3 linked regions of the Arabidopsis thaliana genome follow. The protein of the gene in region 1 interacts with the protein of each later gene in a pairwise test. Each region holds a gene or a part of one and is shown on either strand. Other genes may lie near its edges.

Region 1 (3,649 bases):
TTTTCAGGTAATCAGAAATGTTAAACCCAAAATCATACCTCTCCAGAAGGAATTCTGGTGTTTTGTCGTACAAGTGCACCAGCAGCAACCATCCCATGCTTTTCAACAACGACCCCATCAAGAAGTGTCGCACCCATCCCAATAAAGGTCTCATCCTCAACAGTACATCCATGTAAAACAGCACTATGACCTGTTACACATTTAATTTAAGACTATATCCCAAATGCTTCTTGGAGATGTATGCATATTAAACATTTTCAAAATAAACAGTGAGTAAGAGATTCCCACTAACCAATGGTTACATTGTCTCCAATTATGGTTGGGTGCACCTTCCCGCTTAAGTTTGATTTTGCCACATGCACAAGTGAGTTGTCCTGAATATTAGTTCCTGACCCAACACTTACGGTGTTCACATCGCCTGCGCAGAAAAAAAGAGAGAAAGCAAGTTTAGATTGTATGTTATCCCAGTTTCCTGGTAAAGTACTAACAGGCTTAGCCATACAGTACCAATGTGTTATGACATGAAAGCATTCTGTAAAAAGGACAACCCTATTTCATCACCATTAAATAAAAATCCAGACTAGCCAACTCATACTCGCAATAAGGATTCAACTCAAACTCAATAATCTGTATATGATATCGTTCAACTAATTCTGGTGTTATGACATGAAAGCATTCTGTATATGATTGGGGATATCATATACCCAATCACCCATTAGAGCAACTGCCAGTATCATCAAGATACGATATGTAGTAATGATCTGTTTAAGATCCTTCAATAAAGCTAGAAAGCTCCATTTTGAGTAGTAGTCTTGTTCATCGCTTAACCAGAAGAGTAAAAAACAGATATTCGTTCACTATTTTCTATCGTAAGAGTTGACACAGCTAAGGATACAGAAGTAGATACTATTTCAAACAAAACTTCAGTCACTAAAATAGTCAACCACCAAACACCAAACATTGAGGCTTAGTAGCTAGCTCACCTCGTAATACGCATCCATACCAAATGGACGATCCTCTTCCAATGTGAACGTCCCCAATAACTGAGGCGCTTGGTGCCACAAAAGCTTCCTTGTCCACAATCGGAGCCTTATCAAATACATTCATCAGTGTCCGATGCCTTGACACTACACAGAGAAAACCACAATTACATATAAGCAAATTTCGTGACCAGGAAACAAAAAAAAAACTAAGCAGCAAAACACATTCCACATCAATTAATCCCTTGTGCCATTCGAATCCAGAATCGCTATACCTACAAAGACATCAATTCCAGATCTCTAACCTAACCAGAATAGGTGAGCTGAATTACCCAATCGAAACTCCTCACTCTTTACGAATTCGAAATCGGAGTGAAAAATAGAGTTACGCAGAATCTTACGTTGTTCTCGGAAGTAATTTTTGCCTTGAAGGCGACAACCGAGGCGATCAAGAGCTTGACCAGTCTCACGGATCCAAAAACCGACCGAGTAAAATGCTCTGCCTAGGGTTCCCATTGATCGTCACTTTCTTCGAGCTCACAGGTAAACGAGGACTCAACACTGAATGAAGAAGACGAAAATGGTCGAAGCTGAAGAAGAGACGGAAGAAAAAAAATCAGCGAAAATGGATTTCAACAGGAACATTCCGGGACGGCGAAACAATAAATTACAGTTACAGTGGTTTAATATGGTTTAATCGAACCAAAACAATACGAAATATGAACCAAATCTAATTCGATATTTCAGGTAGTAGTTTCATTAAACCGATTATATTATTCGGTACGAATTTATTACTATATTTTCACTAAATTGAACGGTCCAAAACCTGCCGACCAAAAATCAAATGGCCCTATCAGTAACAATGTCGTTTCGTATCGTCGTCACTTGCAACGCATAACACGTGAGAAAAGATAAACATCGGGTAAAAATGGCCCACTGGTGGGTGGAGAATGGTAATAATTCAGTTTAAAAGCTAAGCCTTCTCACTGATTAACTCAATCATTCATCCGTCTCTGCAAACAAAGGAAGAAGAATCAAGATGGCTCTGGAAATCTGTGTGAAAGCTGCTGTTGGTGCTCCTGATCATCTCGGCGACTGTAACCATCTTCTCTTTCTCTCTCTGTTTTTGTTTTGCATTAAGCTTTTGATTTTGCAATTCTTAATTTCTGAGCTTTGATCGTTGGTAAATTTACTAATTTAAGTGTTTGTTTGTCGTTTTAGGTCCGTTCAGCCAACGGGCTCTTCTCACACTCGAGGAGAAGAGTCTTACCTACAAAATCCATCTGATTAACCTCTCTGACAAACCCCAGTGGTCAGTTTCTCTCACGCCTAAACCCTTAAGATCGGTCTAGTTTGAACTTGTTTAGCCATAATCTCTGAAATTTTACTTGTAACTGGTACGAGCTTTGTGTTAACCGGAAATTGGATTGGCTTCATGTGCGAGCATTGTGTTAACCGGAACTTGAAATTGGTGGCTTTGGTTTTATATATGATGCAGGTTCTTGGACATTAGTCCTCAAGGGAAAGTACCAGTGCTTAAGATCGACGACAAGTGGGTGACTGATTCCGACGTCATCGTTGGTATACTCGAGGAGAAGTATCCTGATCCACCACTCAAGACTCCTGCTGAATTTGCCTCTGTTGGATCCAACATTTTTGGTACTTTTGGGACATTCTTGAAGAGCAAAGACTCCAATGACGGATCTGAACATGCCTTGCTTGTTGAGCTAGAAGCTTTGGAAAACCATCTTAAGAGTCACGATGGCCCTTTTATCGCCGGAGAAAGAGTTTCCGCAGTGGATCTAAGCTTAGCACCAAAGCTTTACCACCTTCAAGTTGCTCTTGGCCATTTCAAAAGCTGGTCTGTCCCTGAGAGCTTTCCCCATGTCCATAACTACATGAAGACTCTGTTCTCGCTCGACTCTTTTGAGAAAACTAAGACCGAGGAAAAGTATGTGATCTCTGGATGGGCTCCCAAGGTTAACCCTTGAAACTATGCACCGTTATGAGATCGTTGGTGTGGTAATGTTGTTCAAGGTCTCTCTCTTATATCAGTCAAATAATGTACTTGGACCTTTTTATGTAATGTACTGTATCAATCAAATAAGAAGCCTATTTTGAAATAAGATTTGCCTCCATATCGAAACTCGGATAAACACTGGCTACACGTAACATAAGGGACAAGGGTTTTTTCAGACAAATTATTTAAGAAACTCATCGACAGTACTTGTGTACTTGACCTCAGGATAAAGCTCAGAAGTCTTAACTCCAAAAGAAGGATCTATAGTCAAGGAGGTAAAGTCGCTCTTCGCAAGGACCGTATGGATCAAACCCACAAAAAAATCCATTGGAGGCTGGGTCTCTGCAAATGCAAGTGACTCGTTTAATACTTTGGAGTTTGGACTGATGAATATTGGATATCAGAAACTGTTTTTATGGTTTAACTGATCACCTTTGATGGTTTTGAGGAGTTCTTCCTCAGAAACATAAGTCTTGTCGAGACTCGAGAGTCTTACCGATCTTTACATCCCACAAATCAACCATATCGTTCTGCGATACAATGTTCTTGGGCGGGTGAATGTAGGGTTGGGTGAGATTTTCCAAGAATGTTCCTGGGAGAAGGCAGTTATAGTCGCACCGTCAGCAGTCGTAAGGTAATCGGATTTTAT
Region 2 (4,711 bases), on another chromosome or scaffold:
GAATCTCACCATGACACATGAGACTTATCGAGGTATGATCAAAGAGATAGCAGATAAAGTGAACATAACAGTAGATGGGTTTCAATCCATGTCAGAAAAACTCACGGAGAAACAGGGGAGATACGAGAAAACTGTAATGGAGGCATCAAAAATACTGTGGACTGCGACGAATTGGGTGATAGAGAGAAATCACGAGAAGGAGAAGATGAATAAAGAGATAGAGAAGAAAGATGAAGAAATAAAAAAGCTTGGAGGAAAAGTAAGAGAAGATGAAAAAGAGAAGGAGATGATGAAAGAGACTTTGATGGGACTTGGAGAAGAGAAAAGAGAAGCGATAAGGCAATTATGTGTTTGGATCGATCACCATAGAAGTCGTTGTGAATATCTTGAGGAGGTTTTGTCTAAGACCGTTGTGGCTCGAGGCCAAAGAAGAGTGTCGCAGCGAACTTAAGGACTCAGTGCCATGGTACGTTGTTTATCTTTCCCAAGCCTAGTTTCCACCTCACATGAATGCAAACAATGAAACAACATATATGTGTTTATTAGGTTTTGGACTCTGGTCAATCAAGAAGCTGGTGGAGAGGTATTTTTGGTTGGGGACTTTTGGTGTACTTGTGTTCGATTTTGTTGCACTTTTATATGTTTGTTAACTTTTGTTGTATTTTGTAAGTCAAAATTTTTGGTTTATTGTGGGCAAAGTTGGTGGTGGTTTTTATGGGAGGTCAGGGAATAAAGGGGCTCACACAAATGGAGTTGATATTTTTTTTTCTTTGGGCGTCGGATTGTATAGAACGATTAAATGCTACTGTTGGTATAGTGCTTTTGCTTGTTTGGAATTTGTTATAGTATCATCTTTGCTCTTTCATAACAAAATTATACACATCGCTTTACAGAGTTTCGTTCTCTCATTCATTTCTTATTTTATTGGGTTTTTTTTTTTTGCATTAGCAGTCGTTATATCTCGCCTTGAATTTCTAATGTGAACTAGTTTGAAATGTTTGAAATGTTTATTCTTTAATAGCAACCACTTTTTTTTCAAGTGTTTTTCACAACCGAAAAAGTCAGCCATGTGAATGATACACAAAATAAGTCAGCCAGTAAGGTTTGGTGATGTTAGATCAATCAAATATTTGAGAAAAAATTCCATAACTAGTTGATATTTCCTAAATCGAAGTTAATTGAAAATTAAGTACAATTTGGCAATATCTTAAATTATTAAATTTTAAATAGAAACTCTATTCACTTTTATGAGTTTATGGAAACACACTACTTTCTCCTCTAAAATCAGACAGTGATTATACTTTGACCTTAAAATTTGAAAAGAGTCTAACACGTTATAATTCCCAATTACTTTATTATCTGATTAATTCACCAAGATACATTAAATCTAAAATTATGTGATAGATATTCATATAAATCATATTGGATTATTCCAACAAAAAAAAAACTCTTAAAATTTGTTTCCTTATTTACAAACAATACATTACTGAAAATTTCTAAATAAAATATCAAAAAGTAATTTCAAAACCTTGTTTTGTCAATTTAATATTTTTATTTTTACAAAAAAAAATCTGAAACATGCAAAGAAGCACAAGTAAAGTACAAGTGGAAATGTATGAAAATAGGAATCATAAAACTAATTTTTTAATTTAATGATAGGAATCTGAAAAAAGCAAAATTTTATCACATCCCGAATAAAGAGGAAAATGCAAAATATGTCTCCTTTTCTCACTATGACAGGTTGTTTCTTTAAAGAAGCAACGGAATTTAACATTATAGCAAACATTAACTATCACCAGCTATCATGCGCCCACCTCTCCACCGTGCTCTCCATCATCATCATTCCATATATAAATCATTCACTTGTAGAATCTTCTTCTCTTTCACACTAAAATTCATCGATGACGGATCCTCCCAGACCCGACCCGTTTCCTGTTACCCGACTCGATTCCGACGCCGGTGCTCTCTTCGTCCTCCAATCAAAAGGTTAAACCCATATATTTATGATATCAATCTCCAATTTTGGAATTTTAACTGATTTGAGAATTAATTCTCAGGCGAGTGGTGGCACGCCGGATTTCATCTAACGACGGCGATTGTTGGTCCGACGATATTGACATTACCATATGCGTTTAGAGGATTAGGATGGTGGTTAGGGTTTGTTTGTTTAACGACGATGGGACTCGTTACTTTCTACGCTTATTACCTCATGTCTAAGGTTCTTGATCACTGTGAAAAATCCGGCCGCCGTCACATCCGTTTCCGGGAACTCGCCGCCGATGTTCTTGGTATCATTCAAAATCTCTTCTTTGTATTTATTAATTTGCTTTTTTTGGATAAATCCGTAAAGGTTGGATCGTGTTTCGATTTGGATACTTTGACTTCTTGTTAGATTCGCCATCATCACACGTGTCTTAGTTTACCGTACCGGTCTAGGTTAGGCCTGTGTATTTCGGTTTATAGATCGGTTTACGTCATAAAGTCTGGTCTTTCCGGTTATTGAGTTTTGGGTTTAAGGGCCGATTTCGAATTTTGAGCCGGTTATTGTGATGTGGTGCAGGATCTGGATTGATGTTTTATGTAGTGATCTTTATTCAAACAGCTATCAACACTGGAATTGGTATTGGCGCCATTCTACTTGCAGGTCAATGTCTTGATGTAAGAAAGAAACCTAAATTTTGATTACTTGTTAAACAAGGTACTATAAGAACCGTACGGATCATCCTCTGTTTTTGTGTTACTACACAGATAATGTATTCGAGTCTTTTCCCGCAAGGAACGTTGAAGCTTTACGAGTTCATTGCTATGGTGACTGTTGTGATGATGGTTCTCTCACAGCTTCCAAGTTTTCACTCTCTTAGACACATTAACTGTGCGTCTCTGCTTCTCAGCTTAGGATATACTTTCCTCGTCGTTGGGGCTTGTATCAACCTAGGTATAATGATTCTTACGTTAGCGAAGAAACAACAACTTACTAATGTTCGAAAATTTAGATTCATTGCCCAGTTTTGGTTCTACAGGTTTGTCGAAAAACGCTCCTAAACGTGAGTATTCTCTAGAGCATTCGGATTCAGGGAAAGTTTTTAGTGCCTTCACATCAATTTCGATCATAGCTGCTATTTTCGGAAATGGAATCTTACCCGAAATACAGGTGAGAAATGTTTGCAATTTATTCAATACAAACATTGTATGTTATGTGTTTGAGATTTATGAGATGATTATATGTATGCAGGCAACTCTTGCTCCACCAGCCACAGGGAAGATGTTGAAAGGACTATTGTTGTGTTATAGTGTGATCTTCTTCACGTTTTACTCTGCTGCAATTTCGGGATATTGGGTTTTTGGTAACAATTCGAGCTCTAATATCCTCAAGAACTTAATGCCTGATGAAGGACCGACTCTGGCTCCTATCGTGGTGATTGGCTTAGCTGTCATCTTTGTCCTTCTTCAGCTTTTCGCCATTGGCCTTGTAAGTTTATAACTAGTGTGATCGTTATTCGATGTTACTTGGCTGTGAGACGAGTGACTAAATGTTTCTTTTTTTTGGTAACTGGTTAGGTGTATTCTCAAGTTGCGTATGAAATAATGGAGAAGAAATCAGCGGATACAACAAAAGGGATATTCTCAAAACGCAACCTTGTGCCGCGTTTGATACTAAGAACACTATATATGGCGTTTTGCGGGTTCATGGCAGCGATGCTACCGTTCTTTGGGGATATAAACGCGGTGGTAGGAGCGTTTGGGTTTATCCCACTCGATTTCGTGCTGCCAATGCTTCTATACAACATGACCTATAAGCCAACCAGACGGAGCTTCACGTATTGGATAAACATGACGATAATGGTTGTGTTCACTTGTGCAGGACTCATGGGAGCTTTCTCCTCCATTAGGAAACTTGTTCTTGATGCTAATAAGTTCAAGTTGTTTAGCAGTGAAGTTGTTGATTAGATGGTTTTGATAGTGTGATAAAAACATAAACAATACTTGTTTTGTGGTTACACTTGTACATGAATTTCTCGAGTTGATTCATTATCACACAAAATGCAAAACCAAACTAGTTACAAAATGCAAAACCAGACAAGGATTATCACACTTACGTCAATTGTTCTTGAGATGAATATGTTTTTTTTGTTAAATGATTTTCTATTTAAATACAAAGTTCCTTTGGGTATAAACACTAAACAGATTACTGGGTTCAGTAAACTCTCTCAGAGTGTGTTAATTTTCAGTATTCGTAGCTGATTGGTTCGGTTTCGGACCGATTGGATATCCACCAATCCGAAATAATACATTACATATTATTAATTTTATGCTCAATTCGGATCGTGTAATTCAGAATTTCATATTTGATATAGTAAATTTCAAATAATTTTGATAATTCTGATCGGATAATTCGGATATTTTGGATTTCATCGGATAATTCAAATCCAAATAAGAATTAAAACCATACATATTTTGGTTTCGAATACACTTGGGATTCTAAAATATCAATAAAAACCGATTTAAGTCTAAAAAAATTAGAATCATAAAATTGTTTGGATTCTAATCGGATTCTATCAGACCTAATCTAATCTGATCCGATCCAAAATTCGAATGCCCAGACTATCACATACTATGGTCATGGATTTCGGAGCGGATACTCCAATCTCATTTGCATTTTGTCTTCTTCTTCTTTTTTTTTTTAATTATTAAAAATTACCTTAAGAATCTA
Region 3 (5,540 bases), on another chromosome or scaffold:
ATGGAGAAAGTGAAGAAGATGATTAACTCTCACTATGAGGAGCATTTGAAAGAGAAGTTTTACCAGTCAGAGATGGTCAAGGCTTTGAGTGAAGGCAAAACCTCAGATGCAGATTGGGAAAGCAGTTTCTTCATCTCACATAAACCAACTTCAAATATCTGTCAGATCCCAAACATTTCAGAGGAACTCAGGTAAAGTAATTAAGAATTGAATAGTACCAAAGGCTCTACCATTTTTACCTGTTTGCTTATTTAACTAAACAATGTGAGAGGGTGAAATTGATATTTGCAGCAAGACGATGGATGAATATGTTTGTCAACTGCACAAGTTTGCAGAGAGACTCTCCAAGCTCATGTGTGAGAATCTTGGTCTTGATCAGGAAGACATAATGAATGCCTTTTCTGGTCCAAAAGGTCCAGCTTTTGGAACAAAAGTGGCTAAATACCCAGAATGCCCACGTCCTGAGCTTATGAGAGGGCTGAGAGAACATACGGATGCTGGGGGAATCATATTACTCCTGCAGGATGATCAAGTGCCTGGTCTTGAGTTCTTTAAAGATGGGAAGTGGGTTCCTATACCGCCATCCAAGAACAATACCATTTTTGTCAATACCGGTGATCAACTAGAGATACTGAGTAATGGGAGGTACAAGAGTGTTGTTCACCGTGTAATGACAGTGAAGCATGGAAGTAGACTGTCGATTGCTACGTTTTACAATCCGGCTGGTGATGCCATAATATCTCCAGCTCCAAAGCTCTTGTATCCAAGTGGCTACCGTTTTCAAGACTACCTAAAGCTTTATTCAACTACCAAGTTTGGAGACAAAGGCCCCAGACTTGAGACCATGAAGAAAATGGGAAATGCGGATTCAGCCTAGGATGCATCTGGAATTTGACGCTTCTGTACTCACATCATAAAAACTTTGTCTTCTTCTTGTGTTTCCTTATAATTTAAATAACCAGCCATGTCAGAATCTTGCTGATTCAGCTATACTACTTCACTCTTCTTTCTTCACTTCCACTTGAAAAGTTCCAAAGCCAAACTGAAGCAGTCTCATCAAGCTCTGTGTCGAACTTGAGATTAGACAAAGAGCTTGTAATCTAAGCTCTAAGATTGACAGTCAATTTCATGATTTATAAGATGTAATTCAACTCTTAACGTAATCCACAACTCCGCCATCATCTCTTTCCATATTCTCTCTGATTTGACTCATTTCCTTCCCAATTCCTAGAATCAAACAAATAGCATTTCTATATCAGCATCTAAAACTGAAAGCTAAGTGTGTATTGACTCAAAATTCTTCTCCAATCGCAATAAAATCGAGATGAGAAAAATTCATCCATATGTTTTGGTTCACACATTCTATCGAGCAGCTTGTGTGCAATCCCAATCCTCTGAACCAAAACAAAAGCTTATCTCTTGACCATTACCCGACATTTCACTCATCAGCCAACGACAAATCCTGCTCCGAAACCTCTAATGCTTGGAAAAGAAGAAAATTCCGATTTCCGAACAATGGAACTTACTCCATTTTGCATTCTCTGTCGAAAGTAACATACGTTCAATGCAAATGACCCAAAGTCGTCGGTGCCACGTGGATAGTTCTCACTGGTTGATGCATTCGGTAACTCGCAGAATGGAAGAATATTAACACAAAAGGCATCTCGCGTATCCACGTGTCCCGTTCAAGATTCCAAATTCTAAACCAAAAGCCGGTCCGACCAGATTAACAAGTTCTCTTTATTACATCACAACCCAAAACTTGTTCAAAACCTAACTTTTCATTGCTAAACATATTTTATTCTGACATTCACATGTTAACTTTAATCCAATATCTAATTCTTTTTTCTTAAAACCACCGTTGTCGAAAAATCCAAATCAGCAAAATCAGTGATTAACCGGACCGGACCAAACCGAACATCGTTTTCTGTAAATAGCAGTAACTGGTTTCACACATCCCATCATCTCTAACCACCGACCTCATAAGTCATTAAGACAAAAACAGAGACACTCCTCTCACTCTCATTATTTCATTTTCTTTCCATAAAAAGCACGAATCTTCAAGAACAAAGAGAGAGAGAGAGAGAAAATTTAATGGCGTTAGCGAATAACTTAACGGCGATACTCAACTTACTAGCGTTACTCTGTTCCATACCAATAACGGCGTCAGGTATATGGCTAGCTTCAAAGCCAGACAACGAGTGTGTCAATCTCCTCCGTTGGCCCGTTGTCGTCCTCGGCGTTCTCATCCTCGTCGTCTCCGCCACAGGCTTCATCGGCGCCTACAAGTAAGAATCAAAGAACTTCAAGACTTTGAAAACATAGACACAAATTGAATCATAAAGATGTAAACTTTGAGCTCTCATATTTCAGGTACAAGGAAACTCTACTGGCGGTTTACTTGTGCTGTATGGCGATATTGATCGGACTTTTGCTGGTGGTTCTTATATTTGCATTCGTCGTGACCCGGCCCGATGGATCGTATCGGGTTCCGGGTAGAGGTTATAAAGAGTATAGGCTTGAAGGGTTCTCGAATTGGCTTAAGGAGAACGTTGTGGATTCCAAGAACTGGGGAAGGCTAAGGGCTTGTTTGGCTGATACTAATGTTTGTCCTAAACTCAACCAAGAATTCATCACCGCCGATCAGTTCTTCTCCTCCTCTAAGATCACTCCTCTCCAGGCATGTTCTTTCTTCTTTTATTCTCTTTTATAAAAAGAACCCCGAAATTTCTAGTTTCCGGTTTAGGTTTGGTTTAGAGGTAAATCTAGACTAAATATCGGTTATGCAACTATGCCAACGAATCATTGTGGGTTTAATTAGATATTATTAGATGATTAATGGAGATAAGATACGAAGTAAAGAGAATGTTTTGTAAAATCTCTAGATTATGTGAGACCTACGGTTTGTTCTTGCCATAGAAAGATAGGTTATTTTTTCTTTCAAAAAGTAAAGTATGTGGTTTTAAATCAAAAAGTTAAAAAATTTCTCTTTAGCTTTTGTGAAGATGTCCAAAAGAGAATTGTTCTTATTCTCTATATTCTTTTTTTTTGTTTTGCAGCTTTAAGTTATTTCGTTTTGGATTTCCTCATCTTTGAAAAAACTAAAAAAATATTTTCTGACTTAATTAATCTTATGTTTTCTAGTGTTGGAGAGAAACCTACATTAGCTTTCTTAACGTTTCGCAGTTAGTGCCATTTTGTGGTAAAACTCATAGATTAGGCATATGTAATCACCATTATTGAACACATATTTATTCCTAGTAGACTGGTGTAGAAGTTGCTGGAGACCAAGTCCACAAGATTATATAGTAAGATAGTCAGATTTCAAAATTATACACTATCATAAGGACCCACCCATGCACCCACAATATGGTACATGATAAACTATGTTTTATCTGTGTATTAATTATATTTTTCCTTTGTCACTATCTCACTCATAAAATTCAATGATCCCATTCACTTTAGATAGTGTTTTTCGTGATCACAACTCAAACTTGACAAAATTTCCTACTTTTTCTATTTAATTTTATTAATTAAAATCACTCTTAAAATTCATTGTCATGTCTTTTATGTCTTTTAAGCTTTAAACATGGAGAGATTAAGGGTGATTTAAATAATTTTATTCCTAAAACTTCTATAGCAAGTTGTCATCCTAGTCCATTGTCACTGTAACAAGATTGGAACCACTAATAATTAAATAAGCCTAGATGCTGAGGTCTCGACTGAATTTTAAATCTTTTAGTCATTAGACATTATTAAATATTGGACCAATGATTTGATTCAATAATTACGATCACAAGTCTTTGTCTCCATCATGAAACATAATAGATAATTATATCCCTCCCATGTTGCCCCACTCACATTATAATTTTTCTTATTGGATAAATTAGGACTCAAGAAAAAATAAGTTTATTTCTAAGAAAGAGTTATACAATTTCTCGTCCTCGAGACAGAACCAAAATTTACTCATAAGTAAAAGAAGATTATTCTGTGATAAGATTCAACATGTTTTTTCATTTTTTTTATGTACTTTCATACCAAGCAAGCAATTTTTTAGGTTTCTTGTAGTCGTTTTATTTTTATAGCTTTCAGACTAAAACTAGTGTTTCATTGTTTTAGGTCTTGACTCTTGAACTCTTGATTGTTTGTGTTTGCCTTTAGTATATACTTTTTTTTTCTCCACATGAACCCATAATATTAACCATGTTAAGCAAAATGAAATTTTTGTTGTAAACACAAAGGGCAGACGCAAATGGTAGCGTTTGTGTTTACAATGTGTAAATATTTTTTACCAATAAAAAAAAAGTGTAAATATCTTTAAGACTATGATTATCATATTTGAAAACATGGTTAAGCATATATTTGGTCAAATCTAATTATGACAATTTCTTGAACATTTGTTGTTTTACAGTCCGGCTGCTGCAAACCACCAACCGCATGTGGCTACAACTTTGTGAACCCAACACTGTGGCTAAATCCAACCAATATGGCTGCAGACGCAGACTGTTACTTATGGAGCAATGACCAAAGCCAGCTTTGTTACAATTGCAACTCATGCAAAGCTGGTTTATTGGGAAACCTTAGAAAAGAATGGCGTAAAGCAAATCTCATACTTATCATCACAGTCGTTGTTCTCATATGGGTTTATGTTATTGCTTGTAGCGCGTTTAGGAATGCTCAGACTGAGGATCTCTTCCGCAAATACAAACAAGGTTGGGTCTAAAATGTGTTTGTGTCTATAAATTTGTTTGTAGTTTGTTGAGATTGGAGTTTTCGGAAATAGCTCGTCATATTATGATTTCTTTGTGTGTGGAAAAGGTTTTTTTCTTTTTATGGATTTTGTTTCTATGTTTATCAGTTTATGTTCGACAAAATGGCACTTATCTATGTAAACAAACAACTGACCCTAATTGGAAAACTGATTGTTGTCATAGAGTTTTCTCAGTTTCTTCTATTAAGAAAAACTTAACCGTTGGTTAAAACGTAATTATCAACAAAGACTTCTCTTTTGGTCTGTGACGTTGATTCCAACGATAAGAACAAAACCTAATCTTTGTTTTCTTTTGTCAACAATAGTACTATCACCTTTGTTCTTAACTATTTTTTTGGGAACTTAAAATTGACAACACCGGAATTAAAATGTTTAATACTATCAAAATTATATGAAACTAAGCTGTCTTTTAGCTATAGTTTAATTCATTTCTGACCTCTAAAATAATATTATCCGGAGATTATTGTAGTTTCGTAACGTGGTTGATGAAACTACTAGGTGTTTTCTTAATTAGACCACGATTTTAACATTACGTTACACTAATACTCTATTGCATTTTTGGTAGTTTTCATAACAATGATTCCATGCGGCTTAGTCAAACCGAAATCATATTATTTGTAAATTCAATTCTGATATAATTTTTCTATTTTGTACCAAACGTAAACCGAAACATAACCGAAACCGAACCAAAACTTCATTTGCGTAATGTAGTTTCCTACGTTGTTGTATCTATAAATAGTTTGTTTGTCCAGCATCCATTTCATAATTC

What was found. Proteins that work in one complex are often made in the same cells at the same time.
Region 2: the proteins of DHAR1 (region 1) and AT5G41800 interact in a protein complementation assay, tested with the Arabidopsis thaliana proteins (one large-scale study listed by BioGRID).
Region 3: the proteins of DHAR1 (region 1) and TET2 interact in a protein complementation assay, tested with the Arabidopsis thaliana proteins (one large-scale study listed by BioGRID).

The regions. Positions count from the first base shown.
Region 1 is NC_003070.9:6,772,784-6,776,432, reverse strand, and holds DHAR1 (dehydroascorbate reductase), read left to right. Parts: upstream 1-1,909; 5' UTR 1,910-2,019; coding exon 2,020-2,077; intron 2,078-2,201; coding exon 2,202-2,292; intron 2,293-2,478; coding exon 2,479-2,971; 3' UTR 2,972-3,131; downstream 3,132-3,649. Other genes in the region: GAMMA CA1 (gamma carbonic anhydrase 1), read right to left, coding at 39-190, 293-418, 984-1,127, 1,382-1,496; AT1G19565 (uncharacterized protein), read left to right, coding at 3,302-3,354, 3,463-3,554. UniProt on the Arabidopsis thaliana protein: Displays a dual function. As a soluble protein, exhibits glutathione-dependent thiol transferase and dehydroascorbate (DHA) reductase activities. Key component of the ascorbate recycling system.
Region 2 is NC_003076.8:16,731,941-16,736,651, forward strand, and holds AT5G41800 (Transmembrane amino acid transporter family protein), read left to right. Parts: upstream 1-1,722; 5' UTR 1,723-1,901; coding exon 1,902-1,986; intron 1,987-2,057; coding exon 2,058-2,288; intron 2,289-2,560; coding exon 2,561-2,658; intron 2,659-2,748; coding exon 2,749-2,935; intron 2,936-3,020; coding exon 3,021-3,151; intron 3,152-3,232; coding exon 3,233-3,469; intron 3,470-3,558; coding exon 3,559-3,948; 3' UTR 3,949-4,153; downstream 4,154-4,711. Other genes in the region: CIP1 (COP1-interactive protein 1), read left to right, coding at 1-451.
Region 3 is NC_003071.7:8,471,576-8,477,115, reverse strand, and holds TET2 (tetraspanin2), read left to right. Parts: upstream 1-1,962; 5' UTR 1,963-2,094; coding exon 2,095-2,288; intron 2,289-2,373; coding exon 2,374-2,680; exon of another isoform or gene 2,681-3,511; intron 3,512-4,411; coding exon 4,412-4,723; 3' UTR 4,724-4,982; downstream 4,983-5,540. Other genes in the region: ACO1 (ACC oxidase 1), read left to right, coding at 1-191, 292-877. UniProt on the Arabidopsis thaliana protein: May be involved in the regulation of cell differentiation.